2 linked regions of the Notamacropus eugenii genome follow. The protein of the gene in region 1 interacts with the protein of each later gene in a pairwise test. Links are inferred from orthologs where the notes say so. Each region holds a gene or a part of one and is shown in the gene's direction. Other genes may lie near its edges. The genes, in order: TROAP and DYRK1B.

What was found.
Region 2: the proteins of TROAP (region 1) and DYRK1B interact in binary tests that used the Homo sapiens proteins (3 or more experiments, as listed by UniProt). The link is inferred for Notamacropus eugenii from reciprocal best matches to the Homo sapiens genes TROAP and DYRK1B.

The regions. Positions count from the first base shown.
Region 1 is NC_092874.1:221,291,150-221,301,388, forward strand, and holds the start of TROAP (tastin), read left to right. Parts: upstream 1-5,211; 5' UTR 5,212-5,377; coding exon 5,378-5,524; intron 5,525-5,661; coding exon 5,662-5,845; intron 5,846-6,081; coding exon 6,082-6,218; intron 6,219-7,232; coding exon 7,233-7,306; intron 7,307-7,701; coding exon 7,702-7,754; intron 7,755-8,822; coding exon 8,823-8,917; intron 8,918-9,334; coding exon 9,335-9,625; intron 9,626-10,239. Other genes in the region: PRPH (peripherin), read left to right, coding at 185-264, 445-513. UniProt on the Homo sapiens protein: Could be involved with bystin and trophinin in a cell adhesion molecule complex that mediates an initial attachment of the blastocyst to uterine epithelial cells at the time of the embryo implantation.
Region 2 is NC_092876.1:32,310,217-32,321,032, reverse strand, and holds the start of DYRK1B (dual specificity tyrosine-phosphorylation-regulated kinase 1B), read left to right. Parts: upstream 1-6,899; 5' UTR 6,900-6,970; coding exon of another isoform or gene 6,971-7,004; 5' UTR 7,005-7,313; coding exon 7,314-7,389; intron 7,390-7,805; coding exon 7,806-7,975; intron 7,976-8,675; coding exon 8,676-8,795; intron 8,796-8,885; coding exon 8,886-9,074; intron 9,075-9,338; coding exon 9,339-9,486; intron 9,487-9,602; coding exon 9,603-9,889; intron 9,890-10,002; coding exon 10,003-10,149; intron 10,150-10,243; coding exon 10,244-10,384; intron 10,385-10,631; coding exon 10,632-10,816. Other genes in the region: FBL (rRNA 2'-O-methyltransferase fibrillarin), read left to right, coding at 1,922-1,931, 2,723-2,875, 2,977-3,093, 3,269-3,363, 3,838-4,008, 4,328-4,460, 4,961-5,073, 5,157-5,302 and 1 more.

The DNA.
Region 1 (10,239 bases):
CTTGTAAAATGGAAATAATTATACTTGCACCAAGTACTTCAGACTTTTTATGTGGCTCAAATGAGTATATCTACAAAATGCCATAAACCTTAAAATGCTGTGAAACTATATAAAACGTGTAAATTATTGTTATGATGAGTATCTCCTTTCCCTGTTCTCCCCTCCCATATTCTCCTCTCCTAAGTGCCTGAGCCTGAACTTCCCTCGGACACCCACAGCCGAAAGATGGTTGTGATCAAGACCATCGAAACTCGAGATGGGGAGGTAAGTGGGAAGTACCTGAGAGCCATCAGGAAGCCTTTAGCTTTGTTCTTTATTTCTGTGAGCCACAACAGGGAGGTAGGGGTGATGGACAGATGTTAGGGAAAGGTAAACCTCAGTTTTCATAATGGGGAGGGTTTGAGGCCAACAGACTTCAACCCCCACTAAACCTATCCTTTCCAGCAGGTGGTGACAGAATCCCATAAGGAACAGCGGAGTGAACTAGATAAGTCTTCCACTCACAGCTACTAAGCCTTTAATGAACCAAAGATGCCTACTACCCTCTCCCTAAACTTCCATATCAGGGGTCTGAACTGGCCCCTACACCCTGCATGGTGCTTGGGGCCTAGTTCCCACCAAACCCCAAATCCCAAGTAATGTAATGACCCACCTGTGGGTCACCCCTTTAGCTGGTGCTGTGGATGCATTCTCCAATTCTCCTGACATAGGACCTCCTCCTTCCACAACATGAGTGTGGCTTCTTCTGGCCCTTTTGCATATGTGTGGCCTAGCATCCATCCTAATTGCGTCCCCTTCCCACCAATGGGAACTCCCCCTACCCTGCAACCTGGGAGTATATGCCGTCCAGGATCCCTTCCCCCATCTCTGCTAAATCTCTGCATTTTGCTTTTATCATAAATAAAACAAAGTTACCATCAAAAGAAACCTTGGCTCAGAGCCTGATATGGGATAGGATGGTGGGACAGGGCTTTAGACTACTTCACTACTACAACCCTGCAGAGCGATCGATCATGTGCTCTATCCCCACCCCAGGCTGACTCGATTCTAGGGTCATCACCAGGCCAGACAATGCTCTCAAGGGCCATAGGACTGACCTTTAATGTGGTCACACCACTACAACATGGGGAAGGGGAATGCCATCAAAGAACCCTGTGCCAGGGACAACAAAAGGTCAACTTCGGCAATGCCTTCCATGACGTCTATTCTCAGTAGCTATATACTCTTAACACTGATGTTTCCTGTTTACGTTTTTTTGCCACTACAAATGCCCATGTTACTCTGTGAATATAAACAGGTAAAAACAGCTTACTAGAGAACACAGACACACATAGGTAGGGGCACTCGTAAACTGAGGCTTTTTTCTCCTAAATATTAGAAGACTTGTGAAAGATCCTTCCACCACAGTCATAATCTAGTCAGCTCTTTCATATAAAGAATCCAAAAGCACAGCTGTAACTCCTTAAAGTCAAGGTTCTATTGTCCTTCCTCTAGAAGCAAACCCCAAGGCAATTTCCCAGAGCAGGGGGTCAAGTTAGTTAATAGCAAGAAAAATTGTTTAGTATACTGGAAGTTCTCAGTGGACATTCTGCAGATCTCTGTGTAAAAAAATGATTTTTACATCATGCGAATTTGCCTGAAAGAAGGCTGCACCTCCACCCCAACACACAACCCCACTTCTTGGAGGGAAGGAGGCAGCATACAATTCAAGGACAGAGAAGGGAGAGCAGGAAGAGGAACACGGAGCAGGGCCTGGCCTAACTGGGACGAAGTAGGGGTGAGGTGCAAACCAGACACATTGGAGCTGGATGTGGACAAAGACAGGGGAAGACAGTCGTACACAGGGACACATGTGCTTAGGGCCTAGTACCCACCAAACCCCAAATCCCAAGTAATGTAATAATCCAACTGTGGGTCACCTCTTTAGCTGATGCTGAGGATGCATTGTGGGTGTCCAGACACCTGGCAGGTGGGTGGAGTGGGGCAAATGTTACCTTTCTCACCTCACTTCAAGGAGGTGAGGTAATCTTTCCCATGAGTTTGGTTTTTTTTTTGGTAGGGGGTAGGGGGTGGTGAGGCTGCCTAGAGGGGCAGGAGTGGAAAGAGATCACAACAAAGTTAACATGCGTGTTTTTTGGGAATGCAGATTTCTTTCAGAATTCTTTAGTAAAGTCGAATTTGGGTGATATGAGAACTCTGTACTTTGTTTTCTACTTACCTACGAAAAGATCACTATTGTGTTTGTAGGGAGATCCCTCCCTCTTTCTTAAGTTGTAATAATGCTCATCTCAGCCGGCAAAATAAATTTTTGTAGCAACCTAGTTCCTGTTGATAACATAGTTTGCCTCCTAAGGAGTCAGAAGAAGGTTGCATCCCCATCCCACTCTCACCATCCCATTTAACCAATCGCTGCCATAGGATACCTGGGAACCAGAAAAATTTAATCATCTTTTATATGGACAAAAATGGAGCCATTTTTGTAAAATATGGAAAAACTTGTGAGCCATTTTGGGAGATGCGTTGGTACCTAGTCTACTCAAACCACCATCACCAAACTGATTTGAGATAGCAGAACTCTGCTGTTCCAGAAAGTCATCTGGTAAACTTCTCAGAGACCCCAGGGCTTAATATCCAGCCCTTCCCCACTAGCACCTGGGGGAGCTATTATCCCAATTCTTTTCAGGTGATCTGAAGTGAAAAGCCCCTACAGTCTTGGGGTAGCTGGTGAAGAAACAACTTGAGACACAGACCAGAAAACGATCTCATCCCCATCAGTCCTGAGACCTCTCCTAGCTACGAAAAATATCTTTCAATAAACCTCTAAAATCTATAAGTTTTACAAATGTGACCTGAATCTTTCTCCCCCTTTAATGGTTAGTTTATTCAAAATCACTCATTTAGAGGGAAATTGCCAATAAATGTATAAAGTAACATGAACAGGAGAATCTAATCAATCTTCTTCAATTACTTTCTATAGACCTAAAGAATGACCCTGACTCTTCTCAGAAAAGGACAGGACACCAAAATAAACCTCTGCCCTTTGCTAGAAACTCCAAACCATGGCCCCCATCCATGGGCATCTTTGAGGAGGGCAACCCTTCTCTTGGACAGCCCAACTTGTTTTCCCTGCCCTGTAGGATCTTTGAGGAGGGAGAGTCCGGTGCTACTTATTCTCATCACTTACAAGTGGTCTAACTTCTCAGTCCCTTTCCTCTTACACTGTTCTTACTGTTTTCACAGTAATTCATCTTGCAGCATGACTGAATCTACTTGGAAACTCACTCCTCTTGAGTACCCTCTGGCCTTGGGACCCCTCCCTCCCTCTTATTGGACAGTCTGGAAGGTGGACAGTAGACAGCTCTTCCCCACCCCATCCCAGATCTCCAGTTAAGGAGGGGGCCCAGTGCAGTCATCTCATTATTCCCTTCTATGAGGGACCCTCTCCCCATCCCCCCTTTCAGCTTCTTTTTATATGTTGTCTTCTCCCTGCTAGTTTGTGAGCTCCTTGAGCTCTTTTGCCTTTCTTTGTATCTCTAGCACCCTTAATAGGCATTTAATAAATGTTGCTTGATTGATTCTCCAAGACACAGTCCCCCTGCAGAAGTGAAAATATGGACCTCCCTCAGCTGCCCTTTCCCCCTCAACTCTCAACTCTTTCCCACCCTTTTCCTCCCTGAGGTTGTGAAGTTGTCACCTTGTCCCAGGTTTTTCAGACAACGGGCTCAACCAACTACCCTCAATGGAACCATCATTCATTTATCCATTCAACAAATATTTGAGTGCATATTATATGCATACTATGATAGGAATTGTTGGAGAGTTTTACAAAGAATATGTAAAGAGTTATGGTCTACTAGTGGAGATAAAACAGGGACAGAGAGAGCTATTTGTGTTAAATGTCATGAATGCTAGTATCATTTTATCCAGAATGCAAGGGCAGCTAGGTGGTACAGTGGATAGAGCATTGCAGTCAGGAAGATTTGAATTTAAATCTGACCTCAGATAACTAGCGGTATGATCCTGAGCAAGTAAGTCACTTATCCATGTCTGCTTCGGTTTTCTCATCTGTCAAACGAGCTGGAGAAGGAAATGGCAAACCACTCCATTATCTCTACCAAGAAAACCCCAAAGAGGGTCACAAAGAGTCAGACTCGACTAAACAACAAAATTCAGAACGCACTTGGGACGATACAGCTATCTTGTCCTCTCTAAGTCCTAGACAGAACTGGGAGAGTCACAAATTTTTTTGGAAACTGTGGAAACTTGTGTGGCTTTCTGGTCCTCACAGAAATTTTTAAAAAACCCAACAATATTGCAAATGCAATGACTGCTGCTCTAACTAGAAATAATACGTGGTCGTAAGCGTATAAGAGAGGTCTGAACGAGCGGCAATGTAAGATGCAGCTATGGGAACTTCAGGGAAGGCTTCAACAAAGTGGTATTTGAGATGGGCAGGGTAAGATAGGGTTTTAATGGAAAGCGATAGGGGACAGAGTAAATAAAGAGTTCCTGAGGGAAAACTGTGAGAGAAACATGCTGGAAGGCCAGGATAAATCGAATCCATTCACCTGATTACCACCTTCCTTGAGGGGGAGGGTGCAAAATGGGATAGCTATAGCTGAGGGCACTGAGGTTTGGAGAGCTCCCTTGGGAAGGTGGATTACAAGCGCGCACCGAGTCAAAGTCCAGGTGTTTATACCACGTCATGAAGCGTCTCACTAAAAAGAGATACCAGATGGACTTTATTTGGTGAGCCATGGGGAGCCGTAGAAAGCTTAAGAGCAGGAGAGGGACTGAGTGGCATACCCGCACCGCCCCCCGCAGAAGTCCACCGACCTTTCAAAATGTCTCCGCCAGGGATGACGTCAGGTCCGACCTGTCAATATCCCCCCCTCCCCCCACCTCCCGAGGGCTCATCCCCTCTCCCGGCAGCGGGATCTCAGGGGACTTATCCCTACCGCTTTCTTCCCACTTCGACTCCCTGCCCAGGCAGCTCCTTCTCCTCCCCTCCTGCCACCCCAGGATCTGTGGTGGGGTGCCGCCCATCCTCTCAGAGTGGGGAAGGAGGAAAAGGGGAGGGGGAGCAGAGACGAGCGCTCCGCCCCCTTCCCTGCCCATCAGACGGGGCACGCCTACTGTCGGTGGATTGGACGCCAGGGTTCCAGTCCACGCTCCGTACGAGGGAGCGGACGGGCCAATCAGAAGCTCTGAATGAGTATTTTACAAACTGAAAAGAAGTGGGTTGCCCTAGTTGGCCGCTGGGCTGGGAAGGAGCAGGGAGCGTGGCGTTGGTGCGGGCTTTTGGGCTGTGTTGTGGACAGGGGGAAGGGGGAGCAGAAGGCCGGGACCTTGGTCCTTCCCCACCCCAGGAGTGGTCATGACGACTACCAGTGGGGATCTGATGGACACTCCCCTGCAAACTGCCTTCTCCACCCCCAGCAGGATTCCCGTGTTGGCCCGGAAATGCCTGCTTCTTTCTGGTGGGGAGGACCAAGCCTCCGGCCAAGAGAATCGGGATCCCAAGGTGAGCTAGAGCCAGGCTGGTCCCCTGCGGGGGGCTGGGGTGGAGCGGGGAGGGAAGGAATGGAGGTGCAGAGAGGTTCCAATTTCTTCCCAGCGCTCACACTGAACCCCAAATTTCTGTTCTCTCCTTTCCCCTAGGGGATGATGATGCAGAAGAAGTTTGGTGCTCAGCTTCTCCAGAAAGACCTAGTCAGCCCTAGACACAAGCTGAAACAGCAGACTTCGGGCCGGAAGGGAAATCTTCGACCCCGGGCCCCACTGGAGGACATCAGCCCTGCCTCTGTGGGGCAAAATGTGGAGGCTGATCCTCCACCTAGGCCAGGTACTGCTTTAAGGTCAAGAAATACAGCTCTCTTGGCCGTTAACCACGACTTAGATGGAATAGAAGGGGCCAAAGTGAAGTCGACTAGGAGAGAAGCAAGACTAAGTGCCTGGAGGTTCTGTCCTTGGGCATCCCTATGATGGTAGTGTGGGACTAGTTTCACCTAGAGGCAATATACTTTCTCCCTTCTACCTTTCACTTACTGTCACTCCTTTCTATCACCTTTCTTCCTTCAGTGGACCCTGGAGATTTGGCCACTATGCTGTCAAGTATGGAGGTGACTAGTAGTGGTTACAGCTGCCAGAGTGGTCTGGCCCAAAGAGTGTTGATCCGGGGAAACCAAAATCAAAAAGGTGCCCTCTGTGGGAGACAGGTGAGTAGAGGGAATAAGGGATATCTGGGTAGAAAAAAAGGTCTCTAGCCTTGTGTTAACAGCAGCTGGTTCTGTTCTCAGACTATGAAACCTTTCTCTGGGGTCCTTAAGATCTCTACAGACATAATGGATTCTGTTCAGTTTTCTGGGTTTTCATGATTGAAATAGGGCCTGTGGGCCAGATCATGCATTCCCCAACATCTTCAAGTTCAAGGAATTTCCACAGTTCTGGTGGCCCAAAACAATCAGGTCTCAGGCTCCAAAGCAAAAGTTCCTGAGCTTTTTCTTTGTTACAGATCCCTTTGGCAGTCTGGTGAAGCCCCTTTTAGAATAATGATTTAAAATGTCTAAAATAAAATACATAAGATTACCAAAAAACCCAGTTCTATTGAAATAAAAGTGTAATATTTTTCCCCATCCAAGTTCATGGACCCCCTGAAATCTATTCATGGACCTGTTGATAGCTCATGGATCCCAAGTTAAGAACCCCTACTCTGGAGCCTTAATAAGCACTCAATAATGGTACCAGGTTCCAATCAGCATGTATTAAATACCTTCTATGTTCAAGGGACTATGCTAGATCTTCAGGATGTAAGAGGTAGTAAGTAGGATAAAATAAAATTATTCCTGGCTCTGTAGTCATGGAGGGTGGGGGGACAGCAAGGCCTCAAGGAGATGCAGTTCATCTAGAGAGGGATAGTGGTAAAGATTGCTGTACCTACAATCCATCTTACATGGAATATCTTCCTTCCTCATGGGTGCCTTTTAAAAGCCTTCAGCTAAGGCCCATATTCTGTACAACCTTCTTCTCACCTGCCCCCAAACCCACTCTTAAGATCAAGGCCTGTTTTTATTTTTCCTTTGTATCCACAGCACTTTGTGCATAGTAAAGACTTTGTAAATGTTGGATTGTTGTACTGAAAGGAATGGGTGTGAAGAGTTGCAGTGGAGTTTGAGATGAGACTTAGAGGTAGATGGTGGATTGCACTCTTACCCTTTACTATTCTGCTTTAGGTCCAGACCCCAGGACGTCATACCAGATTCAGTCATAGCAATCAAGAGTCAACAGAAAGAAACATCATCAGCCAGTAAGGAGTGGGTCTGGGTTCAGAGGGGCTTGTTCCACAGTAGGTACAGGGGCATGATCGGATACCTCACTGAAAAGAAATGACCTAACGTATGAGGCTACCCCTGGCCTTAACACTCAAATAAACAGAAGAACTTGAGGGAGGGGGAATATAAAAAACCTAGTTCAATATAACAGAGCTTTCACCATGGTGTTAGCTTCCTCAGACCCTTCCTGACCTTCCAGAGCAGGGATCACTAGTAACCCAGGATCTTGCTGATGTGTCATCAGAAATCCCCACCATTCCAAGTGGTCCTGGGGTGCACTGGACTATGTCAATAGTTGTACTTCACAGGGGGATAGTCCTGAGTTGACAGGTGGAGCATAATTCAACACTCCTGTTCCCTCTGATATCAGGACCCAGATGGGCAGTGATTCAGGACAGTCCTGGGCAAGAACAAGGCTACCAGGTGAGGTGAAAATGAGATAACTTATTACAGAAGTAGAATGGAATTATCAAAGCTTGGAGCCAAGAGGTATAAACTAGAGAGTACATGATCATGGGGATGCCTCTTTCTAACTAACATTCTTTCTGCCCTCAAGTACAGTTTTCCATAGGTACCATCTGAAAGTTTCCTACCCTACCAAGTGGATGTGATTATCACTATCACTCATCTCCCCACCCCTCAGGAAAATAACGGTCCCCAATTTAGCAAGCTACTTCTGAAATTTTGCCTATACATAGTCTTAACAGGTTACTCTTCAGTCATGTCTGACTCTTCCAGATCCCATTTAGGAGTTTCTTGGCAAATATACTGGAGTGGTTTGCCATTTCCTTCTCCAGCTCATTTTACAGATGAGGAAACTAAGGCAAACGGGGTTTAGTGATTTGCCTAGGGTCACACAACTAATATGTGTCTGAGACCAGATTTGAACTCAGGAAGATGAGTCTTTCTGACTTCAGGCCTGGCACTCTATCCATTTGACCACCTAGTTGCCTCATAACCTTAACACAGGTATACATTAAATACCAATTCCAATCCAGTTAGCATTTATTAAGCACTTACTATGTGCAAAGCACTATGCCAGACCTCTAGGGCAAGGAGGGGAGTTAGGGGGAAGGGGGATGGAAAGACAAAATGAAAAAGCACTGCTCTCAAGAAGCTTATGTTCTGCTGGTTAAATTGACATTTTCAGCTCACAGGGTTGAACCTGTTGTTGGTGTTCAGTAAATATTTGTTGAATCAGTTAATCTTCTGATCGTGCTGTTCTCCCCCCTAATGTCTTGCTCATCTTTCCAGATTCAGCTCAAATAGGACCAACCCTACAAAGCCTTCCCTGATTCTCCAGTCCCTAGCCAGAAGTGATTTCTCCCACTATCTGGCCTCATAGGACTTTATGCCCCTCTGTTAGACTTATCATTCTCATTTGAGTGTATGATCTAACCTTTCTTTGTTTTATTTGCTTTCACCTCCATGGTATCTAGCACAGTATATTGCATATAACAAATGTTTGAACGAGCGTTATCCTTTATATAGCTCACCAACCCCCAGGAGAGCCGAAAATCCCTGCCTTCTCCACAGTGCTGAATGGTTCCCAAAGTAGACTGGAAACTCACAGTCTCGCTCAGCAGGTACAACGTAAAGGAATACATGGTGCCCCTCTCCCCATGGTGAGATCAGCGTCCAGAGAGGACCTTAGAGAGTGGAGATAGAGGATATTTGGGAATGGGGGAGATAGGAAGTTCCAGCCTTTGAGAGAATCCCCCAGTAGCAGGTAGCACTGAGGATAAGAACAGGTGGGTAGGGTAGTATCAATATATTCAGAAGGGTATTACATGGTTCAGAGGTCTGGTCTGAAACAGAACAGATCCAGACCTTCCTAAAATGAAACTATCTCTGCCCCAACCTTCTAGTCTCTCTCCAGTGGATAAGTTAGCAGTAATCCATTTCTATTTACCATTTCTACAGTACCTTCAGGGTAATGTAAGGTATCAGCAAGGTAAATTGGTGTTTTCTGTCCCACTTTTCTTTGCCTTCTTCCCCCATAGGATAGTCCTACCTCCCCTTGGACCTCTTCTCTTCAGTTCACTCCTGGCCAGGTAGGCCATGCCTCGCCCTTTGGACTGGCCAGTCGTGTACCTGTCACCCGTCCACAAGCTCTGGTTTGTACATACGTGGGGTTAGGATTAAAGAAGTCACCCAAGTGTGAGTTGTCCAGCCTAACAAGTTCCAGTCACTTTCTGATTTCTTCACAGACCTCCTATTCTGTGGTACGTCATTTGGCTGTCTTCTCCAAGACTCCTCAGGCCACCCCTGCTTCAACTCCCAGGGTTCAGCAGGTAAGAGGGAGCAGGAAGTGGTGTGCATACTGCCAGAAAGAATGGAGACCTGGAGAACCAAAGCAGTGGGGCTTGTGTGGTTTGGCATCCCCTCTGCCTTTGTTCTAAATCTTCCTCCCGACTCGAGTTTGTGGGTCAGTGTGTTGATATTTCCTTGGTCATGTGTGATCAGCCTGTCTCTATGGTTTTGACTTGAGGAGGCTGCTTTTGCCCTGGGTGAGGAGCAGTACACTGCAGTGGATGGGAGTTGTTACTGACGTGAAGTCCAACCTCTATCTGACTCTGAACTTACTCCAAAGATCCCCTTCCAGCTTTTCTCACATGTACTCCTTACTTACCAAAGTTCTGGGTAAAGTGCCTTTTGGTTCTTCCTCAGAAGAAGCAAATCTTGGGGATCTTGTTTTGCCCTCTGTCTCTGCTCTCAGGCCTTTTCTTAGCAAACACAATTATTTGAGTACAAATGGGACCTGAGGGAGAGCTACTTAGGAGTTTTTTGCCTCAGAAAAATGCACTCCCTTCCTCCTTGGTCCCTTTTAACAGAGGACCCTGTCATTTTCCTAGAGTTTTGGATGTTGCAAGGATCCTAACTGCCTCTTTCTGCATCAGCTTGGCTT
Region 2 (10,816 bases), on another chromosome or scaffold:
AAAATGTAAAAAATCCATAATTCTTTCACATTACTCTCCAACGCAATGACCAAGCACAATTCTAGAGAACCGATGATGAAGCAGGTTACCTACCTCCTGACAGAGGTGATGGATTCAAGATGCACAATGAGATACAGTATACATTTTTCAACACAGCCAATGTGGAGATTTGTTTTGCTTGACTATGCACATTTGTTACAAGAATTTTTTCTTCTTTTTAATTTGGTGGGGAGGCATTAAGGAGTAAAAATTAAAATATATTTTCTAAAAGATTCTATATTATTTAGCTCAGATGACCCCAAGCAGGATCAAATCCTGGCAATTTTTCACTAAGGTCCTGAACCTCTGTCTGTATTTATATATATATATGGTATACAGATATAGCATGCCAGTTTTTACAGCTCCCCAAACACATATCATAAAGCACATTGTCCAGACCCGTATTTGTTGTCATTGCTGTGAAGTCTTTGTAACTCCTTTTGGGGGGATGTCTTCTTGGCAAAGATCCTGGAGGGGTCTGCCATTTCCTTCTCCAGCTCATTTAACAGATGAGGAAACTGAGGCAAACAGGGAGAAGTGACTTGCCCAGGGTCACCCAGCTTAGAAGTGTCTGAGGCCGGATTTGAACTTACAAAGATCAGTGTTGCTGATTCCAAATCCATATGGTGCTCCATATAGAAGTTTAATTTTTGCCTCCTAAAAACTAAATTTTTAATTTTCCTCCATTTTTTCTATGTTCAAGAAACTAGATGATTACAGTCCATAGAATAACTCAGAAGGGGGGGAGTGAAAGCGGAACCATAGAAATGGATTATTTTTTAATATGCTGAACAAGATCTCCTTTCATCCCCTACATCGGTGGTGCTCAAAAAGACTCCTCAAGATTGCCCAGGACCCCTTAGGTCAGGGGGATCCATGAGGCCAAAACCATGTTTTATACCCAGAGGCTATCTGCCTGTTCAAAAACCTGCCCCTTTTCCAACTAGGTATCTGGGTAAATACACCTCATATACTTCCACCAGAATGAAATAGCTAGACAGACTGAAGCTGACAGATCCAGAAATACCGCAAATATGTCACCATACACTTTCTTTTGACATCAAGCTTTTCCCCGGACCCCTCCCACCTGACGCCAGGGGCCTGCCCCTCCCCCCACCTTTCAGCTTCCTTCGCCGCGCGGCCCCTCCCCCTCAGGTGGGAGCTCCCGGAGGGCAGGGCCGGCCTCCGTTCCGGCTCCTCAGCGCCTGGTGCCCAGGAGGATCGTGGAATAACGTGTGTTTCTCACCAAACTTTGAGGAGCGCCGCCCTGCTGGAACCAGAGGAGGAAGAACAGAGACAGGTAGCGAGAGAAACCGCCGCCTCGCGGCCTCCCCAGGCACTGCGGCAGGAGGCCGCCGCCACCTTCACGAGGCCACGAGTCACTTCCGGACCCATTCTCGACGTCTCCTAGGAGACAAAAGCATCTGTTCAAAACTACACTTCCCGACAGGGCACCCCGGCCTCCTGGCGCCCTCGTGACGTCATGACGCCCTACGTGGCCCTCCCCGCCTTCTCGATCCCGGAAATGCTGCGGCCCCGGCCTGGGACTTCGTAGGACTACTTTTCCCAGGATTCCACCGTCCCTTGCGAGGTGACGTAAGGGACAACCGGGGAGGCGGGGACAAGAGAAAGGTACCGGGTAAACCTAGACTGCGCAGGCGAGAGAAGACCCGTCTCGGAGCTTTCGCGTTCCTGCCTGCGTGCGTGCTGCGTGCGTGCTTACGTACGTAACCCGGCGCCGGGCACGCCAATCCCCTCTTGCTTCCCTTGCGGGCTGTAACCGGGGGTGTTGGAGGCCCGGTGGCCGCGTGTCTGCTGGCGGCCGCCGTGCGGGGCGACCCCGCTGCTGCTTCCGCTTCCTGCGCAGAGCGAGCCGCGTGCCATGAAGCCAGGTGAGCGCGGGGCCGGGCTGGGGAGGACTGGCGGGCCCAGACTGGGGCCGGGCTGGGGAGGACTGGCGGGCCCAGACTGGGGCCGGGCTGGGGAGGACTGGCGGGCCCAGACTGGGGCCGGGCTGGGGAGGACTGGCGGGCCCAGACTGGGGCCGGGCCAGGGCTTGCGCGCCTCAGTTGACTCGCCGGTAGCCGGAGGCCCGCGGACCGTGGCGCCTTCTCCGCTCTCTCGCTTTCCAGCCCTCCTCGCCCCCGGCGCGGAGGGGCGGCTCTGGTACGGTCCCCGTTTTACCGGCGAGGAAACTGAGGCAGGCAGCCTGGGGTAGCAGCTGGGAAGGGTCTGGGGCCGGATTGGAGCTCGAGCCGCGCACTCCCGCGTCCTGCCCGCAGCTTTCGCGAGGCCCGAGGCCGGGTTTGGTGGGCCTGCCCGATCGGGCCGGGACCCTCCCCCTGGAGCCAGGCTGGGATGGCTGTCACCGCGGGGGTGGGAGGGGCTGGGCCCTTCCTCGGAGCTGCTCCGGGGAGAGGAGGGAAGGGCCTCCAGCCTCAGCACCCCCACCCCTCCCTGGGCCTCCCGGGTTCCTCCGTAGGGGACGGCGGGCTTCTCTGTCTCATCTCCCAGATGCACTGACAGCAGTTTGGGGCGTGATAAAGGGTCTCCCGTGCTGTGGGGCTGTCCCCCTCCCCCCATTCCCATGAACGTGAACGTGGAGCTTCCTCGTCACCTGGGGTCCGGGTGAGCTGGCAAGCGGCCGAAGAAGTTTCTGGCTAACTTATTTTTTTGCCCGCAGGATTCAGCCCCCGAGGGGGGGGCCGGGGGGGGTTCGGAGGTCGTGGCAGAGGTGGTGACCGAGGGGGCCGAGGAGGCTTCGGGGGCCGAGGAGGCTTCGGGGGCCGTGGCCGGGGCGGCTTTGGAGATCGCGGTGGCCGAGGAGGTGGCCGAGGTGAGTTGAGGTCGCCGGCTCACGGGGGTGGAGGGAAGGAGCACTTCCTCCGGGATCTATGTTGGACTGTCCAGCCAGCAAGGAATCTTTGCCTCCCGCAGGAGGGTTCCAGTCCCCTGGGGGTCGGGGCAGAGGCACCCCCCGGGGTCGAGGCCGGGGTGGCAGAGGAGGTTTCCAAGGAGGAAAGAAGGTCACTGTGGAGCCTCATCGACATGAGGGTGAGTGAGGACATGTCCAGTGCCACTTTTCTTAGCAAAGAAAGTGGCAAAACGGCCATTGTGCAGTTTTGTTTTCTTTGTTACCAGTTTTCCTCGTTTCAGAGACAGGGGATGCCTGGTAGAGAAGAAGGGGGTGCCCATGAGTCACATTGGCCCCTCTTTTTTTTTTTTTCAGGAGTTTTTATTTGTCGAGGGAAAGAAGATGCTCTGGTCACAAAGAACATGGTACCCGGGGAGTCAGTCTATGGTGAGAAGAGAATCACTGTGGAGGTGAGGATGGGACCTTGTGGTGGGAGGGGATGTGGGACAGGCTCCCATTTCAGTCAGTCATGAAGTATTTACTGAGTCCTTGCTCACAAAACAGTCTAGTGGGAAAGGTGACATGGCAGTTATCATATAGAAACAAGTCATATACAGTACAGAATAAATTAGAGATGATCCCTGAGGGAGACAGTATAGAGGGGCATTGAGAAAGGCTTCTTGTAGAAAATGGAATTTCAGGTTTGAAGGAAGCCAGGGCAGGTAGGAGATAGAGGAGGTAGGGAGAGCCTTCCAGTTCTGGGGGAGCATGTCACCAGTGAAAATGCCAAAGTTGGGAGACGGAGCATCCCGCAGATCAGCAAGGCCACCATTGTCGCTGAATCCCAAGTTATGTTGGGAAAGGGAGTAAGGTATAGGACATAGGGAAGGTAGTGGAGGGCCAGAGTATGAAGAGTTGACTCTTGATTTCCTCCACCCTTTCAGGATGGTGAGGCGAAGTTGGAATACCGTGCTTGGAACCCCTTCCGATCAAAACTGGCTGCAGCCATCCTAGGTGGAGTGGATCAGATCCATATCCGACCTGGGGCCAAAGTACTCTACTTGGGAGCAGCATCTGGCACTACTGTCTCACATGTCTCTGACATTGTGGGCCCTGTGAGTCTGGGGGAACCCTTCTCCACTTTCACAAATAGAATAAGAATAGGGAGGGCCTGCTGCCACCTCCTAACTGCTTAAATACAAAACCCAAAGAGCTAGCGGTGAGGTACATTGAAGAGATTCTTCACCTGCTACTGAACTCTGAACAAAGGGGTTTGAGGGCAGGAAGTATGGCACAGAATGATACCTGCTGATTTTTGCATGGCTCCTGCTGCTCCCCAGGTCGCAGGTGCTCTGAGTCTTAGGAGGAAGGGCTTGGTGGTGGGTTCTTGATCATGTGACAGGTGAGGACAGTGAGCTCTCCTCTGCCCCTCAGGAAGGTCTGGTCTACGCTGTTGAGTTTTCTCATCGATCTGGCCGAGACCTCATCAACGTGGCCAAGAAGAGGACAAACATCATTCCTGTCATTGAGGATGCGCGACACCCCCACAAATACCGAATGCTCATTGGTGAAGGCCTGGGGCATCCCTACCTCCATAGACAGGGCTGTGGGGCGGAAATGATCTGTGCTGTGGCTAGAGAAGGCAACCAAGTTGGGGCTGGAAGGTCCTGAATTCAAATGCCACCTTAGATAAGCTGTGTAACCCTGGGCAAATCACTTAATCTGCAGGGGACTTGATTTCCTCGGCTGTTTAAAAAAAGATTTTTGTCAAGCTTTTTGCAAACTTTAAGGCGCTATGTAAATGCTATTATTATTTATTAGAAAGGAGTGTGATTTTAATTTCTGGGAGGCAGCTGGCCTCTGAATTTGGCCTTTATCCTGTGGACCATGGGGAACGGAAGAAGGTTTCGGCTAAGTCAGGGATTGGTGTGTTCAGAGCCATCCCATGAGATTGGATTGGCAGTCTGCAGGGGGGAGTAGAGGGCTAAGAGATGAGATGGGACACAGGGATGAGCCTGACGACTCTGTGCCAACTGTGGCTGGTGCCCTTCCTTCCTCTGCCTCCAGGGATGGTGGATGTGATTTTTGCTGATGTGGCCCAGCCAGACCAGTCCCGAATTGTGGCTCTCAATGCACACAACTTCCTGCGCAACGGTGGACACTTTGTGATCTCCATTAAGGTAAAGTTCCCTGGCCAAATTCAGAAGTGAGGGGAGGAGGCCTGGCCATAGGTTTGTGTCCTCATGACCACCACCTCTCCCAGGCCAACTGCATAGACTCCACAGCCTCCCCTGAAGCTGTGTTTGCCTCAGAAGTCAAGAAGATGCAGCAGGAAAACATGAAGCCACAGGAACAGCTCACCTTGGAGCCCTATGAGCGAGATCACGCAGTGGTGGTGGGTGTGTACAGGTAAGCCTTGGGAGGATCCCCATTGTGCTGGGGGTAAGGGGTGCCTGGGCCCAGCAGGGGCCCCATTTGGGGGGGGGGGGTGCTCCTGGGCACAGCAGGGGTCCTGTTGCTCTAGGGATGGCGGGGGGGGGGGGCGTGGTTCCTGGACACAGCAGGGGTCCTATTGCTCTGGGGATGGGGGGGGTGGGGTCCCTGGGCACAGCAGGGTTTCTTGGGGGTTATCGGGGTGCTGCCTGGGCTCTGACGTCTCCTTTCTCCTCACAGGCCTCCCCCCAAGCAGAAGGAAGTAGCTGCCAAGTAGCTGTTGCTTCTCCCGTCCCCGCCCCGCCTTCCTCTTTTTCTACTGTTTTGTGTCAGATCTTTGTATTTTCTATTAAAAGGTGTGACCCCATGTGACTCCTGGATTCTCAAAGGGTTAAAGGGGGGCGGTGGAAGGACGGCCAGGCTGCGCGCCTGCGCACTGAGGCGAGCCGCCGCTGTTCGCCCTGTGGTTACCCGCGGAGGTCGGGCGTCGACCTCTGCGACGCATGCTTCGTCTTGCTGCCTTCTGCGCGCTCGGGGCGGGCCCCAACTTAGATGTCGCGCATGTCTCTTGTATAGCTGGCGCAGGCGCACGGAGTGGCGGCCCGGTGCCTGAGTCACGTGTCGAGGGAGGATGGGAGGGGGCAGGGGGCGGAGTCCGGGCCGGGGGGGCCGGTTTGTTGTGGTCGCCATTTTGCTGGTTGCATTACTGGGTAATTGGGGACCCCGGGCCGCTGCCGATCTGACTGGAGCAGCCCGCCCGCGCCGCCACCGCCAGCCTTCCCGCGCGGGGATGAGCCCGGGGCGCTGAGCCGCCGCCGCCTGCCCCGCGCGTTCCGCTCCGCCCCTCCCCCTACGGCCCGGCACCCCCCGCCCACAGGTAACGGCCGCGCGCGCGCCCGCCGGGGCTGGGGGAGGGGAGGGGGCGCGTGCCCGTCCGCTCTAGCCCATCCGTCCTCCGGCGCGCCGCCCTCCACCCCCGCGCCGAACGTTAGCCCCGGGGAGGGGGTCGGGGGGAGCACGGGACGACCGTTAGGGCCGCCCCTCCCTGGGCGGCGGGGTGGGGCGGAGCGGGTGGGGGGGCGCGCTGTCCCGGGCCCGGCGGGGTGGGGGAGGGGCGCCGGACCAGGTGCCCGGGGGGAGGGGAGCGGAGGGGGCGGGGCCGCTATTTATAGCTGGGTTCCTGGAAGGGGCCGGCCCCGGGGGAGCGCGGCGCGGGCCGGGGCGGGGCCGGGCAGCCGGGCCGGGGGCGGAGCCGCGGCCTCTCCGGCCCCCTCCCCCTGCCCCCCTCCCTCCCCTTTCCTTCGCTCTCCCGCTCTTTGTTTGGGCAAGAGCCGGCGCGGGCCCCCACCCGCCGCATCGCGGTCGCTTGGCAACAGCGGGCCGGCTCCCCGCCATTGGCCGACTCGCCGAGCCCCTCGGGCCAATGGCAGGCCTGTTGCCATGGCAGGGGTCATGTTGCAGCCGCCTCGTGTGCGCCGCGGGGAGCGGGAGCCCGAGCCCGGGAGGCGGGAGGCGGGGCGGGGCGGGGCGGGAGCCGGAGCGGGCGCCCCTCGAGCTCAGCACCTCCTCCCCCTCCCCCGCCGGGGGGGAGCCAGGGGAGGGGGGGCCCGGGCCGGGCCGGCCGGGCCGGGCTGCTGGGGTGCTATGGGCGTCGGAGGAGAGGCTTCTCTGGCCCCCGGTGCGACCCCAGGGTTGATTAGCAGATAGGCCAGGCTGGAAGTGGGGGGGAGGCCTGTCCCAGTCCCAGCCCAGCAGCTGTAGGGTTAACCCCATCCTCCCTTCCCCCTCTCCCCCCTTCCACCTGCTCAGTTGCCCCCCCTCTAGGCAACCTCGGCTGACCCCCCTCCCCCCTCCCAGCGGCTGCTGCTGTCACCCAGCGGACAGGACAGGACAGGGCCGGGCAGGGACTGGGGGGGCCTCCCCTCCCTCAGACGGGTCACCCTTCCACCTCCGTGTCCCCTCGGGGCTCCCACCCTCCCTGCCCGAGATGCTGACTGCCCGACTGCCAGACTGGGGACCCCGCCGGCCACCTGCCCATGGCTCCCGACAGCCCCCCAGCGTGGGTATGAGAGGGGGGGGGGGGTGCCGAGTGGGGGCTCACCAGCCCCCTTTCTCACGTGGGTGTAACTCGGGGCACTCCCTGGTGTCAGATGAGAACTCCCCCATATCCAAATGCCTTCCCTTTGTGCTCCCCCCCTCCCATGGAGAGTGGCTATCAGCTGGGGAGGAGTGGGTATGAGACTGGGAGAGTTCCAGCCTCTCCTCTGTTGTTGGGGGCATGGGGGAAGGGCTGTCACAGGCTCCTGACCGGCTCTGCTCTGGCCCTTCATTGTTACTGGTCTCTTTCACCCCATCCCTAATTAGCTGCCTTTGCCCTTTTCTCTGTCTGTCTGTCCTGGCTCCGTGATACTCTGGCCTGCCCCCTCCCTTCCGTGGTGCCCGTCCCCCACATCCCATCTCCTCTACTCCCTCCCTCCAGGTCCCGGCGGTGCTGGTGGCAGCAGCTGTGGTGCAGGATGCGAGAAGTCGCCCCCCAGCCGGGCTCCTGCTCCGGGCCTTCCTTCCCTTCGGCCCTCTGAGCCGGACATGGCCGCCCCTCCCAGCCATGGTCCTTTCTCCGGCTTTCCAGCCCCCCAGGAGCATACACAGGTAGCACCTAATCTAGCTCCTGGTGAAAGGTGGAACCCTGGATTGAGTTTCTGGCAGGGGGGAGGGGGCAAAAGGACAGGCCTTAGGGAAAAACGTGAAATTGAAGGGTCTGGTGTTGAATCATCCATGAGCTGTAAGATCTAGAAAGTGCAGATGGACAGTTGAAGGATCTGGGTCAGGAAAAGGAGATCCTAGTTTAGGATCTGAGGGTTACAGACTTAGAGCTGACCCGAACTTTTGAGGTCATCTCCTGCTCATTTTACAGATGAGGCAGCTGAGGCCTAAAGAGAGGTTAAGCCTTCTTTCCAGGGTCACACTGGGAGGAAGTAGCTGAGCTGGGATTTGGGCCCAGGTCCTCAGACTCCATCCAAATCCAGCTCCCTTCCATAGTATCATAGTCCCTGCCCCAACTTTGGCCATCAGACACTCCAAGGGTCTGTGGGGAAATTGTTCAAGGTTAAAGGTTAAAAGACAAAGTGTGGCAGGGAGGTAGAACTGGACTGATAGTTGGCTGGTCAGCTGTGCAATCCTGAGAAAGTTATTGAGAGAGCTTCAGTTTTCCTTTTTGTAAAATGGGGGTAACAGTTGTCGTACCTAGAGCACAAGGTTCTGTAGGACAATGGAACTGTGAGCGTGGGAGGGTTGGAAAGGGAGGTCAGGGGTTGAAGCCTGGCCCCTTACATGTCCTTCCCCCTCCTAGGTGGTGCCAGATGTCAGGCTGCTACAGCGACGGCTCCCGCTGGCCTTTCGGGATGCCACCTCCGCCCCACTACGAAAGCTCTCTGTGGACCTTATCAAGACCTACAAGCACATTAATGAGGTGGGCTGGACCCTGGGCAGGAGCTGGGACTGAGCTGGGCAGTGACTCCCAATATCTCTTCTTACCATCCTCTACATTCTCTGTTCCCAGGTGTACTACGCCAAGAAGAAGCGTCGGGCCCAGCAGGGACCCCCAGAGGATGCGAGCACAAAGAAAGAGAGGAAGGTTCTGAATCACGGCTATGATGACGACAACCATGACTACATTGTGCGAAGCGGGGAACGGTGGCTGGAGCGATACGAGATCGATTCACTCATCGGGAAGGGCTCCTTCGGGCAGGTGGGAATCAGAATGAGTGAGACACCTCAGGGAGAGGTAGGCTTCCATCCTCTGAAAGCCAGAGAAGGTGACTTTCCTCTCCTGCACCCCACATCCCGAGACCTATGTGCAAGCCTGAGTTTTCTCGGCTGCCTCTCAAGTCGTACTATTGATGCCTGAGCTAGAACATTGCCTGACTATGTCTCTTCCCCTTGGGATCCATCCTGGGGCCGAGAGACCTGCTAATTCCCATCCATCCCCATTGATCCCCACTGTCGCTCCCAGGTGGTGAAGGCCTATGACCACCAGGCCCAGGAGCTGGTGGCCATCAAGATCATTAAGAACAAGAAGGCATTTCTGAACCAGGCACAGATTGAGCTGCGGCTGCTCGAGCTGATGAACCAGCACGACACGGAGATGAAGTACTACATCGGTGAGGCCTGGGAGCAAGGCAGGCGGCGGGTGGCCAGCCATGGGAGGTGGGCACAGAGTGGAGCTGGAGGCTGAGGTCCAAGCTGCCACCGCATGTCCCTGCGCCTTCTCCTCCAGTGCATTTAAAACGACACTTCATGTTCCGGAACCACCTGTGTCTGGTCTTCGAGCTCCTCTCCTACAATCTGTACGACCTTCTGCGCAACACACACTTCCGGGGAGTCTCACTGAACCTGACCCGGAAGCTGGCGCAGCAGCTCTGCACAGCCCTGCTCTTCTTGGCCACGCCTGAGCTCAGCATCATCCACTGCGACCTCAAGCCCGAGAACATCCTGCTGTGCAACCCCAAGCGCAGCGCCATCAAGATCGTCGACTTCGGCAGCTCCTGTCAGCTGGGCCAGCGGGTACATGGCGGCCATGGGCCACTCACCCTGGGGGAACCATCTCCCAATCTGGGCTGGGGGCAGGCAACCACAAGGTACCCAGGAGGCCCTGACCAAGCCTCCTTTCTCCCCAGATCTATCAGTACATCCAAAGCCGCTTCTATCGCTCCCCTGAGGTGCTTCTGGGGACACCGTACGATCTGGCCATTGACATGTGGTCTTTAGGCTGTATTCTTGTGGAGATGCACACAGGAGAGCCCCTCTTCAGTGGTTCTAATGAGGTGAGGCTCAGACTGGGAGAATCAAAGAGGCAGGCCCAGGGACAGCCAGTGGAGGGTGGTGAGCCTGACTGCTCTGTCCTGCCCTTTGGCCCAGGTGGACCAGATGAACAGGATTGTGGAAGTGTTGGGACTGCCCCCAGCTCCCATGCTGGAGCAAGCTCCCAAAGCTAGGAAGTACTTTGACAGGTTGCCTGGAGGGGGCTGGACCCTCCGGAGGAGCAAAGACCTCAGGAAGGTGAGCCGCTCTGCTCTTATGTGCCTGCCACCGCCCCTCTAAACCCCATCTAAAGTGCCTTCCTCCTGGGTGGCTTGTCTGCAGTCACTTCCCCAATATCCTTTTCTGCTCCTTCCATCCTTCCTTCCCTTCTCCCTGTTTTTCTCCGATCCATCTTTCCTCGCTGTCGTTACAGTTAGGAATTCTTTTATTCCTGTCCCATTCTCCTCCATGTTCCCCCTCCCATGACGCCTCTCCTCTTTCCTAGGAGTACCAAGGCCCCGGCACACGGCGGCTGCAGGAGGTGCTGGGTGTGCAGACGGGCGGCCCCGGGGGCCGGCGGGCAGGTGAGCCAGGCCATAGCACAGCCGACTACCTCCGCTTCCAGGACCTGGTGCTGCGCATGCTGGAGTATGAGCCGGCCGCCCGCATCAGCCCCCTGGGTGCCCTGCA